Linked DNA regions of Rattus norvegicus. The protein of the gene in region 1 purifies or fractionates together with the protein of each later gene. This does not show direct contact. Links are inferred from orthologs where the notes say so. Each region holds a gene or a part of one and is shown on either strand. Other genes may lie near its edges.

The links. The genes of interacting proteins can lie anywhere in the genome.
Region 2: the proteins of Gsk3a (region 1) and Axin1 purify together in Homo sapiens (affinity purification with mass spectrometry; 12 studies listed by BioGRID and IntAct, with this or other methods). This does not show direct contact. The link is inferred for Rattus norvegicus from reciprocal best matches to the Homo sapiens genes GSK3A and AXIN1.

Annotation. Positions count from the first base shown.
Region 1 is NC_086019.1:89,943,056-89,947,421, forward strand, and holds the end of Gsk3a (glycogen synthase kinase-3 alpha), read right to left. Parts: coding exon 4,324-4,366; intron 4,232-4,323; coding exon 4,125-4,231; intron 3,335-4,124; coding exon 3,237-3,334; intron 3,150-3,236; coding exon 3,054-3,149; intron 2,615-3,053; exon of another isoform or gene 2,378-2,614; coding exon 2,191-2,377; exon of another isoform or gene 1,902-2,190; coding exon 1,809-1,901; exon of another isoform or gene 1,272-1,808; coding exon 1,198-1,271; 3' UTR 614-1,197; downstream 1-613. UniProt on the Homo sapiens protein: Constitutively active protein kinase that acts as a negative regulator in the hormonal control of glucose homeostasis, Wnt signaling and regulation of transcription factors and microtubules, by phosphorylating and inactivating glycogen synthase (GYS1 or GYS2), CTNNB1/beta-catenin, APC and AXIN1.
Region 2 is NC_086028.1:15,698,469-15,702,834, reverse strand, and holds part of Axin1 (axin-1), read right to left. Parts: intron 2,497-4,366; coding exon 2,356-2,496; intron 1-2,355. UniProt on the Homo sapiens protein: Component of the beta-catenin destruction complex required for regulating CTNNB1 levels through phosphorylation and ubiquitination, and modulating Wnt-signaling.

The DNA.
Region 1 (4,366 bases):
TCCCAGGTCCCCTCCCTTTCTGGAGCGTCCTGCCCACTCACTGCTTGGCACCATGTAGAGACAGCATTTCCTTCTGCCCATGGTCCCCGCCATCTGGCTCCAGTGTATTTTAAAAGTCAAGGGGAACAGCCAGGCAGAGTGGCACAAGCCTGTAATCGCAGTGTTTGGGATCCTAAGGCAAGATGATCTTGAGTTCCAGACGAGCCTGAGCTATACCGAAGACCAGCTCAAAACCAGAGAGGGAGAGAAGAAAGGCTAAACTCTCAACCTCCACCTTCCCAAGGTTGCCACTTCCCAATACCCCCTAAGAAGTAAAGCAAGTGGGTCCCATGCTTCAGACAGGGTACCTTAAGCCTTGGGAATCTGCCTATGCACATATATACCTGTGCCACCAAGTCTACAGGCAATTAGATGTGCAGCCTGAGACTCGTCCCCCCAGGTCTTGCACTGAGCGCCCAGGTGTGCATCATTTCTGCCACTGACAGATAGTTTGTGCCAGGAAATGGGTGGGCTCCACATCTGTGGTTGACAAGTCCCCCTAACTGAGGTGGAACTCATTCCAAACCCTGAACCCCCACCTCTGTGGAAATAGGCAGCCAGACAGGAAGAAGGGTTTCATGCCAATAATTTATTGAACGGAGGTCTGTACACAGGCAAACCTTACTGTGGAAACTAAGACACCAGGGGCTCTCCCTACTCCCCTCCTTGGGATGGGGAGAGGGAGGAAGCCTTGGGAGCAGAGGACAAGAGGGGGGTACAGCTGAGGGGGAGGGCAGGTTGGATGGTGTGAATCGACGTTTTCTTTAAGAAAAAAATTATAACAATCTATTTACACCCAAGGGGCCAGGAAGAGGATACGGGCTGGGCTGGTTCTATTTACAAGGGACATGGGAGGGGGGGGGGGAGGAGTGGTAGCCTGGGGGAGGGGAGGGGACCACGGGGGTAGAAGGTCCTCATACCCCCAAACCCCGTCCGTCCTTCTCTTCCCTTCCCTCCCCCACAAACAGTTAAAATCCTCTTTAAAAAGCCCACCACAAAGGTGAGGCTGGTGAGGGAGGCCTAGATGCTGGGTAGTTCATTTACCTCTGCCCTCAGTCTAGGGGCCCAGCCAGGGCAGGAGCTGGATGGGCTATGGCCCCCTTCCCAGCCCCACTTGAGCCTTCCCAGATGGACGTGGAGGGGTAGTCGGTAGGGCCCTCAGGAAGAGTTAGTGAGGGTAGGTGTGGCATCAGGTGCCTGCCAGTCTTGGCCAGTCTGAGTCTCAGTTAAAGCTGAAGGAGGAGAGGGAAGGAGGGACAGTTGGCCTTTGCATCACACCCCATGCCCACGAGAATAACTTGCTTCAGAACACTATGCAAGAGTGACAGCTGTCACTCTGGGCTCAGGGTTACAAACTGATGCCAAAGGACCAGCTTGACACTGAAGTGGCTTAACAAGGAGCCAGGCTCCATGGAGGGAAGGGGCACTGGAAACAGCTCCAGCTGCTGTCAGGAGAAGGGCAGACCCATGGCTGCCAAGCCTGACCTTCTTTCCCCTAAGAAACAGGAAATCTGGGTTTTTACCCAGAATGGCCCAATCTTTAAATGTGGGCAACTTTTTGTTTATTTGTTCAGACCAAAGAAATGTTTGGACTTCCAGCTGGCATTTAAACACAACTGTGGGCAATATCACCCTATAAAGCTGGTTGCTGACATACTGTAAAATATGCCTCTTATGCTGTCAGATGTCAACAGCTCAGAACCCACAGAAAATGCTAGAAGCCAAGAACAACCCCCGCTCGACCCCTCTACACATGTTCCCCAGCTTACCTTGTGAGGACGAGGTGAGGGTAGCAGGGCCTGATGGGGACCTCAAGTGAGGAGGGATGAGAATGGCATTGAGAGACGGTTGGATGGAAAGTTCTAGAGACAAAATTGACATCCCCAGTTAAGGAGAGGCAAGGCTATGGAAAGCCAGTTAAGGTTAGGATGAGGAACCAAACAAGGACCCAGATACTGGCAAGGCCAGGTGGAGGAATCTTTAGCCACAGGACTCTTAGGTGGAAAAGTAGAAAAGGCCTGGTATGCAGCCACAATGTGGAGACACCTAGCTGAGCCCAGGACCACCTTGTACCCTCTTAGCTCCCCAGTCTTGTTCAACACCAAGCCTCTCCACATCCCCAACACCTCCACTGGCCCCAGCTATGCTCACCACCAGGACTGAAGTTGAAGAGGGGGGGAAGCGGGCGGTTGTTGGGGAGCTGGGTTCCGAGACTCCGCAGTTCATCAAAGAAACTGTGGGCACAGGCCTCTAGTGGGGAGAGCCTTGAGGATGGAGTGTACTCCAGCAGGCTAGAGCAGAGTGCGATGGCCTCAGGTGGTGTCCGAGATTTGAACACCTGTGGGTTAATGCAGAGGGGCGAGGTGCTGTGACACCGTGTCATGTGCTCCCCTGTGGCAGCCTGCTTCCCAGACACCCACCTCCCTGGTAAGGAGACCGACACAATGAGATGGGTGCTGGCTCAGGGTCCATGACTTGTGAGTCCTAATGCGTACGTGCCACCATATAAATGGGAATCTTGTATTTACCTCTGAGTTCTCAATTTTTAAAATTCTATAAACTTCACAATCTCAAAGTGTTGACTGCCTCCCTGGATAACTTCAGAGACTACCCCCACCATATTTCTATTTTTCAATGTTTACCTATGTATATGAAAGCTTTGCTTGTGCACATTTGTGTTAACACATGCATGCCTGTAAGGATCCCCTGAAACTGGCTTACAGGTGGCTGTGAGTGCTGGAACCCAAACCCAGGCCCTGTGTAAGGGTAACAAGTGCCCTTGGCCTCTGGGCCAGCTCTCCAGCTCTGCAAACCATGGTTTTTATTTTATTTTATTTTTTTTCAGAGCTGGGGACCGAACCCAGGGCCTTGTGCTTGCTAGGCATGCGCTCTACCACTGAGCTAAATCCCCAACCCCTCAAACCATGGTTTTTAAACCAGGTCTCCAGAGCAGTTGGTCTACAAGGGGATCCAACCTTCAGCCATGCCATGCAAGCCCGTATTTCTGCCCCTACCTTTGTCCAGGGGTGAGCTTTGATCTGGGGGAACTTGAATTCTGTGTAGTTAGGGTTCATCTCTCGGATTTGCTCCCTGGTTGGCGTCCCTAGTACCTGGAAAGGACAGTGAGGGTTTGAAACAAAGGCCCTTTCCTTAGCCCACCCCTGCTTTCCCTCGCCCTGGCCCTGCCCCGTCCTCACCTTGATGATCTCCACAAGCTGGTCTACCCCACTGTCCCCAGGGAAGATGGGCTGGCCAAGAAGCAGCTCAGCCAGTACACAGCCAGCTGACCACACATCTGAAGGGGAAGGAAGAATGGAGGTAAGCACTAGACGGCCAAGGCCAGCAAGCCGACCCCTTCACCAACACCGCTTCTCACAGCTATCCCAGAGGCACTGCAGCAGCGCTGTCTCACAGAAGGTGCCTGGCCCAGATGTGCTCTCCAGTCCAGATACGCTCACATCCTCATGCCCTTGGTGAGTGATCCCGAGGAATCCTTTGAACATTCTTTACTTTTCTGGACTGGCACAAGGCCTGGCCCTGCCAACTGGCACATGCGTGCTCTGGGCCAGAAGGAAACCACCTATCCTGAACTAGCTGTTACCACCTGGCCTCTGGCCTGCTCACCCCTCCCTGCTCTGTACCTTGACCTGCACTGGTACAAGTTCACACCTGAGGACCTCACCAGCTCCTCAGACTGACTGACATCCTCCTTCAACCCTTCCTTCCATGTACACACTCCCATCTCAGCCTTCCCCTCAAGCTTGGAAGAGGGTAATGCCATGCTCGGAAACAGAAAGGACAGGCCCTGAGAGCAGGCCATGCCCTTATGCTACTTACTGCCCACCCCTTCCCTCGAACTGAGAACAGAGGCTCACTGGGAGTCTCTAAGTGGAGGTGGACTCTGGAGCCAAGTCAGATATGGAGTCCCAGCCCTGTCCTGAGCAGTGCTCTGTCCTTTCTACTGTTTAGCTGCTCTAAAGAGATGCGGCAGTTCCAGCCTCAGCCTGGGAGGACCAGTCAAGGACAGAAGGCAGGCAGGGCCTAATCGCCAAGCCTGTCACTCCCCAGCCCCTCCCCTAACTGACCGATGGACGAGGTGTAATCTGTGGCTCCAAAGATGAGCTCCGGAGCACGGTAGTACCGAGAACAGATGTAGGACACGTTGGGCTCCCCCCGAACCAACTGCTTTGCACTGTGGGAAGAGATGGGCAGGGTTAAGCATGAAACCAAACTCAAGGATCTTTGATCCCTTCAGGCACTCCACAGGCTGCAGGTCAGACCTACCTGCCAAAGTCGCAGAGCTTGAGGACAGCAGTGTCAGGGTCCA
Region 2 (4,366 bases), on another chromosome or scaffold:
AGTTGTGGACTGGGGATTTAGCTCAGTGGTAGAGCCCTTGCCTACCAAGCCCAAGGCCCTGGGTTCGGTCCCCAGCTCCGAAAAAAAGAAAAAAGAAAAAAAAAAAGTTGTAACATTGAAGTTGCCTTGGAGACCCCAAGATGTTTGAGATGCCAGAGCCATGAGCTGTGTCTGCTGAGGAAAGCTGCTAACAGAGAGTGCAACCAGCCCAGGAGAAAGAAGTTTGTTACAGTCAACAAACATGAAAAAGGAACTGGAGAGCTAAAGACCAGTTTGACATCAGACATGGAAACGAAAAGTTTTGAAGTTTGCCCAGCTGGTTTCCTGTCTAAAATATTTAGGGAATATTCTCCCCCTTACTAATTAAGCCATAAGGTGGCTGAGCAGATAAGATGGCTTAGATGTGAAGTGCTTACACCCCAGCATCTACTTAAAAAAACAAAACAAATCTGGGCATGGTAGTATATACCTATAATCCTAGTGTTGAACAGTCTCTGGTGCTCATTGGTCAGTTAGTTTTACTGAATCAGGATCTCCAGATTCAGTGTCAGCAAGTAGGTAGAGGCCCTTTGGAGCACCATAGGCTTGATGACCTAAATTCAATCCCTAAAAACCACAAGGGACAGCAGAGAACCAACTCCCTAGAGTTGCCCTCTGACCTTCACATGTGCTATGGCACACACATGCACTTATATACTCTTTTTTACTTCACAATAAATTTTTTAAAAAATTTAGGGGGCTGTGGAATCAGCCCTGTGGTTTAAGAGCCCTTCCAGAGGACCCAGCTTCCACACAGTGGTTATATAGAACTCCACGTCCAGAAGATATGACATTCTGATCTGCCCTCAAGAGTACCAGACACACATGGCACAAATACATACATGTAGAAACAAAATGTATGTATGTATGTATGTATGTATGTATGTATGTATGTATGTATGTATGTATGTATTTTAAGACAGAGTCTTACTATATAGCTCAGACTGTCCTGGAACTCACTGGGCAGACCAGGCTGGCCTTAAACTCAGAGATCCACCTGCCTTTGTCTCCCAAGTGCTGGGATTACAAGGTGTGAGCCAAAATAAATTTTTTTTTCTTCTCTTTTTTTCAGAGCTGGGGACCGAACCCAGGGCCTTGCACTTGCTAGGTGAGCGCTCTACCACTGAGCTAAATCCCCAACCCCCAAAATAAATTTTTAAAAAATGAAATTTTAAATCAGGGCAGAACTGCTGAACTGGGCCAAGAACCCTTTTGGGGACCCTATGCAGTCATGAATTAAGAGCCATCTAGCAATTGGAAGACTTGGCTCTGATCACAAGTAATGAGCACAAGCTAGAGCAACACTAGGATTGGAGGAAGCACAGGCATGGGGTTAAGCTCAGCCCAAACATGACCAAGTCAGAACCCCAGGAACCTTGGGTCTGGATGGTCAATTCAACAAAATGTTTTATGCCACTCAATTATTTAGTTTAATTATTTAATAGTCACCAAGGCTCCAAAAAGCCACCCACAGGAAGGGGTTCATAGGACAGGTCCACCCTACAAGGGCTTTTGGGAATGTGACCACACAAGACAAAACAAGTTCCTAATTGTGATCATATCAGGGATGTGGAGGGAAAGATCTGCCTCCATAGCTTGGAACTTAGGCTCTCAGGGAACTAGTCTTAGTACAGAACGCAGGCTCCCCAGCTGATCCAGACCATTCATGATCTATCAAGAGTCTGTATCATAAAAAGATGCAGGGAAGAACAACACAGGCAAGAAACCCATTTATGCAGACTGATGGCTCCCAGGAGAGAAGACCGCCTGGTCTGATTGTTCCCTGTGTCTGTCTTCTCACTGAAATCCCCATTCTATAGCTAGGAGAAAACAAACCGCAAGTTTCTTACAGGCAGCTGTAACTCTGAGTCCACTACTCTTAAAAGCAGCAGGAAGCTGCGGCCTCCAAGACTGTCAGCTAATACAAACTTCATCTGTAGGTTGGATTCTGTTCCAGGATTTTTAAACCGCTTTTGTTGCTATTGTGCTGGGGACTGAACCAGGACCTCCACTGAATTACACCTTGGCCCTTGGGCTAGGTTTTGAAGAATAAGCACTTATAGGGCAGTCTGTCATTATTTTTAGGGTTTGTGTTTTGACACAGTCTCATTCTTGGCCCAGGTTGACCTGGCACTCATGGCAAGGCTGCTTCAGCTTCCCCAGTGCTGGCGTTACAAATATATTCTGCCGTGGCCAGCTTCATGTCTGTTCCTTAGGAACAACTCAGTCAAGCTCTGAGAGCATCAATCAGTAAGGAGCAGCCTGTTAGATCAGCAGAGAACACTGAAGCACACAGCAAGCACGCATGGGACTTACACGCTACTGTCCGTGAGGGATAGAGTGTCAGCATCACTGGACAGGCTCTGCTGCTCACTGTCATTGGCACTGGTGGCTGGGGCCAGGGCATAGCCAGAGTTGACATAGTAGGGGTTGACAGGCTCCCTCCAAGATCCATACCTGTGAATAAGAAAGGCAAGTGAGTGGCAGCAGAGCAATTATTCTGTTTTAACACACAGTCAGTTATCTGAAACAGAGCAGAAGATCACGTGCCTCCATCCCCTTCCTCTTCCCCTCTTTCCATCTTTCCCAATTCCAAGGAAGGGATGAAAGAGGTCTAAACTCTTTCTTTCTAGATGTTTCCTCTTTTTTTAAAAGGCATTTAGGTACATAAACACAGCATATCACTTGGGTAGCGGACAATACTCCATCTTTCTACTAAAGAGCACAAGAAAAAAGAAACCATTATCTTTGTTACAACTACAAAGTAACCCACTTCTGGCCCAACTCAATAGGTTTTTCTGGATCAGCCAGCCAGAGCCACCAGGACTCTAATTCAAGTCCTTGGGTGTCAGGCATCATGATGTTCCATGGACAAAAAACACAAATGAAATCTGTTGCTGGTTGGTGTGGGAAGAAGATCAAAGCCCCACTACTAAAGTAACAGAGTCTGATTGTTGCTCTGTGATTGGCCAAAAACAAGAAACATAACCTGAATTTTCTGTAAGGGCACTTTGCTATACTTATTTTTCTCTTCATCTCTCTACAGCATTTGGCACTTGCCTACTAGCTGATTTGTTACATTTTGGAATTTTTATTTTGTTGTTGTTGTTGTTGTTTTAACACTTTACAAGTTTTCAAGTTAAAAAAAAATTAGCTAGGCATTGTGGCACATGCCTTTAATCTCACAACTCTGGAGGCAGAAGCAGGTGGATATCTTATGAGTTTAAACCCAGTCTGGTCTACAGAGCCAGTTCCTAGAGACAGGTGATCTTGTAAGTGCAGGGCAAGCCTGGCAAGCTTTGCAGAGAGCAGAGAAGTGGGCTCCAGGAAGTCCGGGCTACACAGAGAACCTGCCTCAGTCAGGTGTGGGGACACACATCTCTGCGGCAGAGCCAGGTGGATCTCTCTAAGTCTAAGGTCAGCCTGGTCTACAGAGCAAGTTCTAGAACAGCCATGACTACACAGAGAAACCATGTCTCAAAAACAAACAAACAAACAAAAAAACCCCAACCAACCAATGAAAAACAACAAAAGGGGGGGGGGAACCCTGTCACGTTGTGTTTGGCCTACATGCACTCGTGTATACTACATGCATGCCTAGTGTCCATGGAATCCAGAGAATACTGAATCTCCTGGAGCTGGAGTTAGAGACAGTGGTGAGTTGCTGTTGAGGTGCCAGGAACCCAGCCAAGGTCTTCTGCAAGAGCAGTTACTGCTCTCAACCACTGAGTCACGTCTCTCCAGCCCTCCAGACGTATTTTTACTGTGTGTGTGTTATAATTAATATATATTAATATTTATCTATATAAGTAGTGCATGCAAAATATTTTCTCCCTAAACATACTTTTTCTTACAGTCAAGGCCCTCTTACTCTGGTCACTTGAATGCATGATCCTGCCTTAGTTTTCCTGAGTAGTTGGGATTACAGGACTGTACCACCATACCTGGTCCCTTTTTGTATTGAGCACACACAGGCCTTTTAATTTTAGGTCATAAACATATTCTTCTATTATTCTTTAAAACAATTAAAAGATTTTCTTGAGGCAGAGATTTAGCTCTGGCTGATGAACTTGTACTGGTTTTATCTCTGCTTTCCCAAGTACATGACCTATCATATCAAGCTTCCAGCAGTTTTTTGCTCGTGTTTTAAGAAAAGTCTCACTATGCAGTCCGGGCTGGCTCAACTCACATTCCCTTGCCTTAACTCTTCAGATACTGGGGTTACATCTATATGTCACCACCCAGGCTTCCAATATCCACCCTGAGAGTGTTTTTTTTTTTTTTTTTTTTTTGGTTCTTTTTTTTCGGAGCTGGGGACCGAACCCAG